Linked DNA regions of Ovis aries. The protein of the gene in region 1 binds, or shares a complex with, the protein of each later gene. Links are inferred from orthologs where the notes say so. Each region holds a gene or a part of one and is shown on either strand. Other genes may lie near its edges.

Region 1 (4,478 bases):
GAGATAATACTAGGAAAGAACATCAATTCTCTTATTTTAGTGGCCAGCATGTTATAAAGACCTAGGAAAAGAGTATTTATACAGAGACCTTTTTTTTTAATGTGAAGCCATATATTATTCATTAATTGTGACCTTGTTCAAGGATATTTTTGGTACATAATGCTTCCTATTTATATTTGGCTTCATGTGAAAAAGGTTCCTCAGAAAAGCCAAAAGAACACTTTGTATGGTTTCTGGAAGAGATAGCAAAAATGATTTGGAAAATATTGACAGGAAGCTTATGAGTCTCTAAACTAAGTGGGAAAAGCTCAACTCAATGAAACTAAATACCTTAGAAATTGAATCTGCACAGCTACAAATGCAGTATCACAAATGTGGGTGGCACTGATGCAGAGAATTCAATTCTCTATTTCCTTGAAGAAAAGGAACAGTACATGTACAATGACATAGGAATACTACAATATTTAGTTCCCATAGCAGCAAGATATATCTAACACATTACATTTAGAAATACCAGAACAAGTTTTCCACCCCCCAAAAAAAGCTTTTATACAAAACAGCAGCTATCCTAGAATCTCCTACTGCTTGACAAAATTAATTTCAGAAAGGTCAACTTACCAACTCTATTACTTCTACATTTCGAACTGATGGGTCAGGCGCCACCTCTGGCCAATTAGATAATTCCAGGTACCCAGTTGCTTTGGTGTTGAGAGTGTGAGATAAAGTGCCAAGCTGGAAATGATCCCTATCTATTAAAATAAAGGAAAATATAAAATAAACAATCTGAGCTGCATATAACAGAGAACAATCCTAATCAGAGCTCAAGGTAATTGGCATATTACCTCAAATGTCAAGGAATAAATATAAACTAGGAAATTCTTCACAGGTCAAAAAAACTGATTTCAGTCCATAGATTACAATAATCTCCCCGATAATGGTCAATAAAAAAGCTAATCAGTCAGTGTGTTTAGAGGTGTTGCTCTGATATGTAGCTTCTCTAAAAATTACTTTACTGTGAATATTAAGAATGACAGCACAGTTAAACAATCCATATACATGTCTTGCCACCAACACATTCAGAATTTTAATAGTTTTACTACAAAACTGAACTGCTTTTTATCCCTTTACAACAATTAAATAAGAAACAATATGAAAACCAAAGTATATAATCATTTGATTCCTACTGTAATGGCTACTTGTGAAACTGATAAATTACTCCTTTTAAAAAGCTGGGGAAAATAAGTCAATTTCCATCTCTGAAAAGCAAACAAATATAAAGGAATATTTCTATGAAATAATTCTTTCCGGAAAAGCTTATGTTAGTGTACACAAAATACTTAATAACTCACTATTAAGGTGAATTATATATCCCTTATTAAACAAAGCTATCTATTTAAACCAGAAATGAAGTCAATGTCTGCAAAAACAACACAGCTTTCATCTATTGTTCAGTCAAGTCATTTGGTAAGAATAAACGCCAGAAGACTGAAATTATTTAGGTAAATAAGGCCTATAAAAACATAAACTTGAACTAATATAAAGCTTGTTTCGGAGAAGAGATGAATGAATAGAAAGCACACTTTTCGTATTTATATATTTATACACACTAATCACATATTTTCTAAGAGATAAATTTTAAACATGTTAGAAGTGGGATATAATATCATAATTTTTAAGATAACATATAATATTCTGTAGGTATATTCTGATAATAATACCTTTAAAAGGAGATTCAAGCAGTGGTGCGGGTTTCTGCGCCAGAAATATTTTTTTGGCATATTTACTTAAAGCTCCACTCTTCTCATTCGGAACAATAAGCTGCCTAATAAATCTTGTACGATCTCTGATGTCGTAGTTTTGATCATACTTGCCGAGATTTAATATGTACTGGGTAAGCAATTTTGTCTGTTGGAAAAAACAGAACAAGATGAGAATACAGTTATTTATGATTATTGATAACTCTGGATAAACATATTTAAAGAGGTAATAAAAATGAATGGTTATGTCAAACAAATGTTGTTCCATAGGGAATATGCATTTCTAACACTGCAAATGGAATTCTGAAGCCAAAGCACATGTCCTCTTCAGTATTGGGGAGGTGAATGCTGAGCACTGAGAAGCAGCCATGTGCTAGATTATTAAACTGCTGAAGTGGAAAGAAAGGCATCATTAAAAAAATAATCATATATGGCAAACCCGCTGAAGGGTCTACGTGAGAATAATGAATGTGGAAATACAACTAAAAACATGGCACTCAAAACTTAATCGGAAAAATATGCAGGACATCAAAACATCAGAGAGCATTAGGGGGCTGGCAAACTGCTTCTCCTGAGGTGTGCTTTATGAAGAGATACTGTCCCCGGCATAAGCAGTGTCTGCACTCAGTTACTTTACCCTGAATTATGACCCATTAAAGCAGACACATGAATCACTGAACTGGATTACTGCAAATTATTTGCAGTGCATTTAGCTGTTACTTTTTCATAAAAGCAAGCTGCTGATGCCCTCTAAAAACTAGGATAAAAGACTCCTTCCATTTTTTCCCCCATATTGCTTATGGCCTCTAGTAATATTGGTCATTTATTTATTTATGTTAGGGAACAACTTATTATAGTAGCTTTTACACTCTAATAAGATTTCCTAAGTCAATTTTTGACTGTACTACATTAACATATATTGAGATAATTTTAATAATAATTAAACCAAAATTGAAATGTTAACAAAATAAGGTTTGTATTTTCAACTCATTACTTTATTGAAAAAGCATAATTTTAATTTAGAAGGTTACACGTATACAATTCTAACCATAAACAGGATTCATAATACATGGAAAAAATAAACATCTACCTTAGAACATTTTATAGACATCAGAAATGGATTAAAGACAATAAAATCCATCAAGTCAGGCAGAGCTGAAGATAGTTCTAAACCAACAAGTCAAGATACAAGAATGGTGTGGCAAACTCTTTTACAATATTAATTCATTAAGATAATTGATTTGGATAGAAAGCAACCTTCTTTCAGCAACAATCTATTTAAAAACCATTAACCTAGTTTTACTAAAGTAGAACTACAAAAAATACAGATGAAAAGTATTAATAGAGCTATTCTAAATTTGGTTAACAACAACTGCTATTCACTAATTACTAGACTAGGTTGGTTCAACGACACATAAGAAAATTTCTATGATTGATTTTTTAAGGACAATCAGCCAAACAGTCACCAAGTGAATAACCCAGGTCAATCCAAGGTACACTGGACTGTGCAATCAACTTGCTGAGATAACCTGGAAAATACATCCTACTGTTAAGTTTCTTCAACTGTAGTGAGAATTCATAACGAAGCTAACTCTCTACAGTATATCTGAATGCTGGGATTTAGAATACGCACCTAGAATAAATCAGATTAAAAAGCCTATTCACTGCAGCACTTTTTTAAGCCAGTGGGGTGATTCATCCCGCTTTCATTTCTAGTCTCTGAAATTAAGTTTTAGGAAGTTAATTATTTGAAATATTAACTGACTCTATTTAAAGTGAGACAGAAAATTTTAAGTTATTAAGATTATATAATTTCCATAATATGCACTTATTGACTATAAAACTTGCTTTATTATATTGGTGGGTTATGAAATAATTATAGCACGTGTATTTTCAAAATTAAAATTCTAAAAGATAAAAACATATCCAGGTCCCATGATACATTAAAAACATAAACAGAATAATTAATTTACTCACATACCTCTTTATTCACATACCTTAATCAATTTCTTAGCTCTATCTCTAAAACCAAGTCACTGGTATTTATCTAAAGAATACAATTTTATGTCTTCAAAATGGAATTATCTTCAAAATGGAACTTTATGATCACTAATTATGAAAGTACTGACATTTGCAACTTATTCTTTGCTATAGAACTTAATATTTTTAATGGAGAAAGTGCCCTCTTTACAGTTTGAATGGTCCAATAAGCATAGAAAAAATTCTGTTGAATAAAGGATACTCTCAATGCTTTCATGTTAAAATTTGTAAATATTTCAAGCCTAGATATTTAAATTTTTTCCCTCCAACAAAACTATCTTTATGAGATAAAACTTTTGAATAATTCTCTATAGTTTAATATTTCATCAAATTGAGCTACTGCAAAATCAACTGCCTTCTCAATTTCATTTCATTCTAATATAAAATATAAACTTAACCAACTAAAATAGTAGCTCCATCAAAAAAGTCTTCATCATAGCTGAAATATTGCAAATGAAAGAACTTCTACAATAAATTATTAGCTCTTATCACTTAATTTGCTCAATTCTTCCTTTGTTTTTATCGGGATATATTTCAATGTCATTCTCTTTGCAAGATTTGTTTCCAAGAACTGCTGTTTTGCTAAAGTTTTCAAAAGCTTAAGGCTGTTGAAACTCTACCTGGTAAACACTTTAAAGGTTTCCAAATGATTTTGAATCAAAATCTAACCAACACACAAAA
Region 2 (5,090 bases), on another chromosome or scaffold:
CTTCTTGCTTGAGGAAGCTCAAAGAGTAGGAACAGGTTCTTAAAGTGGAGCTGGGACATCAGTATTTTTGATTGATTTTCTAGATCCAAATATCACTAAAGAGGGAGAGGACTGCTGACTACATTTATCACTGCTTTAACTTAGAAAAGCTGCTGACTAGGGAGGCAGATTCTGGGTGTTCAACTTACAGGGCAATGTCCAAGGCTACTGAATTAGCTCAGCAATATCTGGAAACAGTAGTCATGGCCTCATTTTTGCTCCTCACCATATGTTCACTGGTACGGCCTTCCTCCTGCATTCTCATTCTTCTCAAATCAGATGACTCAAAGGACTACAGGATCACTATCTTCCACGGATTCTTCTACAGTGGCACTTAAAGAGAACCCATCACATGAACTCCCTTTGAATAAAATGATGGTGACTCCTTTATGCAGAAAATAAGCTTTTGGGTTATACTCCCTTAAGAATTAGAACAAGAAGCTATTCTTGAACTATCTGGAATTCTGTACTTGAAAAATACTTCATTATGATTAAGTACTCATGGATCTTAGTTGTCAGCAGGTGGTGGTAGGGAGAGGAGCTCCGATCACTTCTTCAGTCTGGGCTGGAAGGGTGAATCTTAGATACGGGCTATTAACATAGTCAGGAGAGGAGCATTTGGAAGTGCTTTGCTGCAGCCTTCACACCTCGTGTGATGATGCTGGGTAAAACGGGATCACGGCTCAGCTGCTAAAGAATCCACCTGCCATGTGGGAGACCTGGGTTTGATCCCTGGGTTGGGAAGATCCTCTGGAGAAGGGAAAGGCTACCCACTCCAGTCTGGCCTGGAGAATTCCATGGACTGTATACCATGGGGTTGCAAAGAGACACAACGGAGCGAGTTTCATTTTCAGCCTATTTGAACACTGAGGCATGTGCATCTGAGAATGCTCAATTAACAGTCAAGCTAAAAAAAGTCAACTTGTTGCTTTCATCTTTTTATTGACAGTGTAGCCAGAGCTGGAGAAAGGACTTACTGGATTCCATCAAATTAATAAATACAATAATTTAATTATAAAAGGAAACAGTCTCCTTGGAAGTTTTAGCAGAAGTTACTAGAGGCAAAGGACTCTTGGCATACAATCTGCTGGGATTTGGGAGGGTAGTAGAGAAAGAAAATTAGTCCATATATGGATGGTTGAGGGATTCTGCAGAAAGAAGAACAAATGTATTGATCGCTCTTTTGAGGTATGAACTCTGAAAAGGAAGACATTAAAATGAAAAGCAACTGAACTTGGTAACCAACCTTATGCAAAGGGAATAAACATTTGGCAACATCTTAATTTTAGCTGCCAAGCTGATACTGGTTGTCCTATAAACTGCAAAATGTGATCTTTCAGATTAGATGGAAGGCAGGCTTGGTGCCATAGGCAGCAAAGAATGCTGCTGTGCAGTGGGCTCCCTATATCAGCACCAACCACCAGCCCTTGACAGGAGAATGGGGTGAGTGGAAGGGCTACTGTTAGCATATGGGAAAGGGAATTATAAGTTGAGAAGAACAAAATGAATGGAGTTACAGGGAGAAAACTAATAGCAAGAACAAGCACTTAGATCTTAACTTTATTCTTCATGTCTAATGAACCAAAATAAGTGGGCAAGGACTTCTAAGTCATCCAAGTTAAAAGATAACTGCGGGCTGACTCGCCAACCACAAAGATCAATACAGGTTTATCAATGTTACTGAGGATTTTGTTTCTGCCTTATTATATATGTACTTTCACCTACTTGGTCAGTAGAGTAGAGATATTTAAGTATTCCAGTGACAGTTTCAACAATAGTTTCAGAGAGGAATCTTTTGACTATAGCCTTGGGTAGCACACACTATGTAAAGGGAGTCCCCCTGAAAGCAAAGAATGTAGGCAAACTGAATCCATTAAGAAAAGGAAAGAAAAAAGATAAAAGATTAAAAAAATAATAATTTGACAGTATTGAGGCAGGCACATTTTCTTCCTTTAGCTGAACTAGGGCATGAGGGCTTTAGGCTAATTGGTTCTAAGTGGTATCAGACAAGCTTTATAAAACATGAAGACGGCAAAGGTTCACTTAAGTTTCTCTTTTACTATGTTAGTTTGCTCAAAATCTCAAATGCTTGTGCTTGCAATAACTTCCTAAAAGCAGAAGTAGAAGTAGTGTTCCCTTTTATTACCTTAGAGCATTTGCCCCTTTGATACAAATGACTTTTACTGTGCTAACAGATGAGCTAAGTGGCACAAAACTGAGAGTGTACTTCCTGCAGCAAGGTCCCTATAAATCAAAATCAGCTTTACATAAAAATCTTATTTATAAAAAATACAATACCAAGTACAGTGAGAATGGAGCATGGAGCAGCAGTGCTCCCTGCCAGGGCCATGTGGAGTGGCTTTTGCTACAGTGCTTGCTTAATGGCACAAGTGAAAAGCTGAATAAGGCAAACACTTGAAGAGGCAGTTTTTTGTAAACTTCTTGGGTGGGAGGAACTATTCCTCTGTTGGGACAGATGATTGGGGATGGCTACGATCAAGTGTGACACTTGGCTCCACTTGATACATCACGTTACAGACTAAGACAGCGTCTGCTGGCTGAGACCGGTTCACTTGTTTTAGGGGAGAGGTTATCACTGTAGACTTCTGCCTTGACTGTGAAAATGTGCAGCCTCTAGCTGGTGCCTTCCTATGGAGGAAATCACCTCTAAAACTTTCCTAAGTGACAAGGTACAAATAAGCTAAGTCATTCAGAAGTTTCCTTAGCTTAAAGTTCCTTAAGAACCCTGCATCGATAACTAAGCAACTCTGTTAGCGGTATGTGGCTAGACATAAATGCTTTAACTAGAATATGTATTCCCACCCAATTGGTACCTAATAGTAATACATTGTGATGACGCCTGGAAAACAAATAAATCTTCAGGAATTCTGGCCTCTTCTCATGTCCTCACTTGGAACTTTCCAGCTTTTGTGACGTATTTGACTCCTTTAAATGGCTTATATTTCTCCCCATACATGTCCAAGCGGTTTACTTTTAAGCCTGTGTCAAAAAGAACACATAAGGAAAGGAACAAATTACAGTCCTGGTCACACCAACCAGTACAATATTTGCTTAAGAAACAGTTTACTATACAGTAAATCTGACATTAGCCAGTGTCCATTTCAAGATCTGGAAGCAATGTTCCTTCTAGCATTCACAGATTCAAGTACTAGGAGGGTATGATTTTAGTTCAGATTCCCATATGGACAAGCAATGTCTTTTAAGGATAATTCTACTTTCTTTGAGTATAAATGATTTCTTTCTTTGTGCCTGAATGAGGGTAGGGGTGAAGGGAAGCTATGTGAAATAAGGTGCTCTCCAAAATCACTCTCAAAAATCAAGGAGAGTGAGAGGCATACTGGAGTAGTTGCTCTTTGAAGAGACGGAATGTCAGTTACTCTTCGAAGCTCCTAGCAGCTGACCTCAGCAAAACTCAGTTAACCCTTACACACATCAAATTTCTCCTTACCTGAAATAGCAAGCTGTTGGATCTTGAACTGTATGTTGAGGCTTGGATTCTCTTCTGGCTTGGGAGCCCCAGACTGTAAATTTACCAGTCCTTTAAGACTGGGGAGCTTTTGTGGAGTGATTTTCCCCACATCCCACGTTAGTACCTTAGAAAGAAAAAAACAGAAAACATTCTGAACTATTTATTAAAGACAAATGTTCAAAGACAAGGTTCAAAGACCATAAACTTCTGTAGAAAATAAAGCACAGTGTCTTGGAATAAGAGACCTGGGATTCCCACTGAGTTTTACCACTAGTTAGTTCTGTGACTCTGAATGGGGAGTGAAAAAAGGAGTAGATGCATTTGTTGAGCATCTACTTTTGGATATAATACTGTGCTCAGCACTATTCTCACGCTGTCTCGGAAGTCTGTGATGTAAAACTTTGTCTAATTTTGACAAACAAAGAAACTAAAGCTGGAGTCAGATGACTTGCTGAAGGTCACATAGCTAGAGGAAAGGTTGGGATTTGACCCTAAGGCTATCTGGTATCAAACATCCTTTCCACTATGCCATCTTTACTGTTTCTCTCTGGGCTTAAGTTTAGTTTTCTGTAAAATGAGAAGATGGGCCTAAATCAGTGCTTTTAAACTTTTAGTGATGGAACCCTTTGTTCAAATGAAATACCTAGTGAGGGAGCTCAGTAACAGATGAGAAAATAAAGCTGTTATGGTTGAAGCTGGGGTGAAGGCTAGGGATCTGGAGCTCCTGCTTAATTTCTCAGCCCTGTGTGGTCTCTGGGGAGATTCTTTGACTTCTTAGGAATAGATTAGATGATCTTTAACATTCAATGATTTTATAGTTAAATAAAAAAAGACTTTTCATTTACTATGCAGCTCAATGACTCTATTGAGGAAAAGAATCATTCCTTTACCCAAGCAGGAAGCAGAGAGAAAAATCAGCTTTTACAGTTTCTCTGAACTCCCTCTGCTAGAGGCAAACATATAGAGGGTGAGAAGGCAACTTTCCTAGTCAGCATCCTCTGTAGAAGAGTATGAAATAATGCTTTTAAATTAAAAAGGAAGAGAAAGATCTTAATTTCTTAACAATTAATACACTGTAATATCTATTAACCATTAATAGATTATTATATGCACATAATGCTTTTCTCTTTTTAAAAAGTTTTTATATCTTCCTCATTGAAGAGTTAGTGAACCTCTGGATTATCAATGTATAAGAAAAGGCAGATTCTGAAGGAAGAAGGAATGAATCTCACTTTTCTGCTCATCAACTTAGCAGCAGATGCAAGATTCTCTCCTGTGGCAGAGCACAGCACAATCTGCATTCTAGGCTGTTAGAGCTTTAATTTCAACCAAGATATTAGACCCTTCCCTCTGTCCTCCCATGTCCCCAAATCACAAAATAAGGATTGCAGAAACACTTGCTCACTCTTGATTTTAGGTGACTGTACCTTGGTAACTGGATCAAAAGTATAGCTGCCTTGTGTTGGTGTCAGGTTCATATTCAACACAACTTTCGGCATGTGAACGGTCACCGTGATTGCTTCAATAGTTTTCCCCATATTCTGCTTTGGTCCAATTGTAA

Evidence for each region. Proteins that work in one complex are often made in the same cells at the same time.
Region 2: the proteins of AP3B1 (region 1) and AP3M1 are in contact, whole or in part, in a cryo-EM structure (PDB 9C5A), measured with the Homo sapiens proteins. The link is inferred for Ovis aries from reciprocal best matches to the Homo sapiens genes AP3B1 and AP3M1. Residues at the interface, in NP_003655.3 of Homo sapiens: Leu60, Lys64, Val67, Gly68, Ile70, Ala71, Lys72, Gly73, Ile92, Glu93, Lys96, Leu97, Val100, Arg104, Glu107, Asn128, Gln129, Leu130, Arg137, Arg143, Ser163, Pro164, Tyr165, Lys168, Asn169, His172, Gln175, Lys176, Leu202, Ser206; in NP_001307192.1 of Homo sapiens: Met1, Phe15, Leu16, Glu17, Trp20, Lys21, Ser22, Val23, Gln26, Val42, Glu43, Asn44, Val45, Pro46, Pro47, Val48, Ser50, Tyr55, Ser58, Ile59, Tyr60, Gln71, Thr72, Glu73, Val74, Pro75, Pro76, Leu77, Phe78, Ile80.

Annotation. Positions count from the first base shown.
Region 1 is NC_056060.1:9,250,355-9,254,832, forward strand, and holds part of AP3B1 (AP-3 complex subunit beta-1), read right to left. Parts: intron 1,906-4,478; coding exon 1,719-1,905; intron 750-1,718; coding exon 619-749; intron 1-618. UniProt on the Homo sapiens protein: Subunit of non-clathrin- and clathrin-associated adaptor protein complex 3 (AP-3) that plays a role in protein sorting in the late-Golgi/trans-Golgi network (TGN) and/or endosomes.
Region 2 is NC_056078.1:29,207,584-29,212,673, forward strand, and holds the end of AP3M1 (AP-3 complex subunit mu-1), read right to left. Parts: coding exon 4,957-5,090; intron 3,654-4,956; coding exon 3,509-3,653; intron 3,040-3,508; coding exon 2,939-3,039; 3' UTR 965-2,938; downstream 1-964. UniProt on the Homo sapiens protein: Part of the AP-3 complex, an adaptor-related complex which is not clathrin-associated. The complex is associated with the Golgi region as well as more peripheral structures.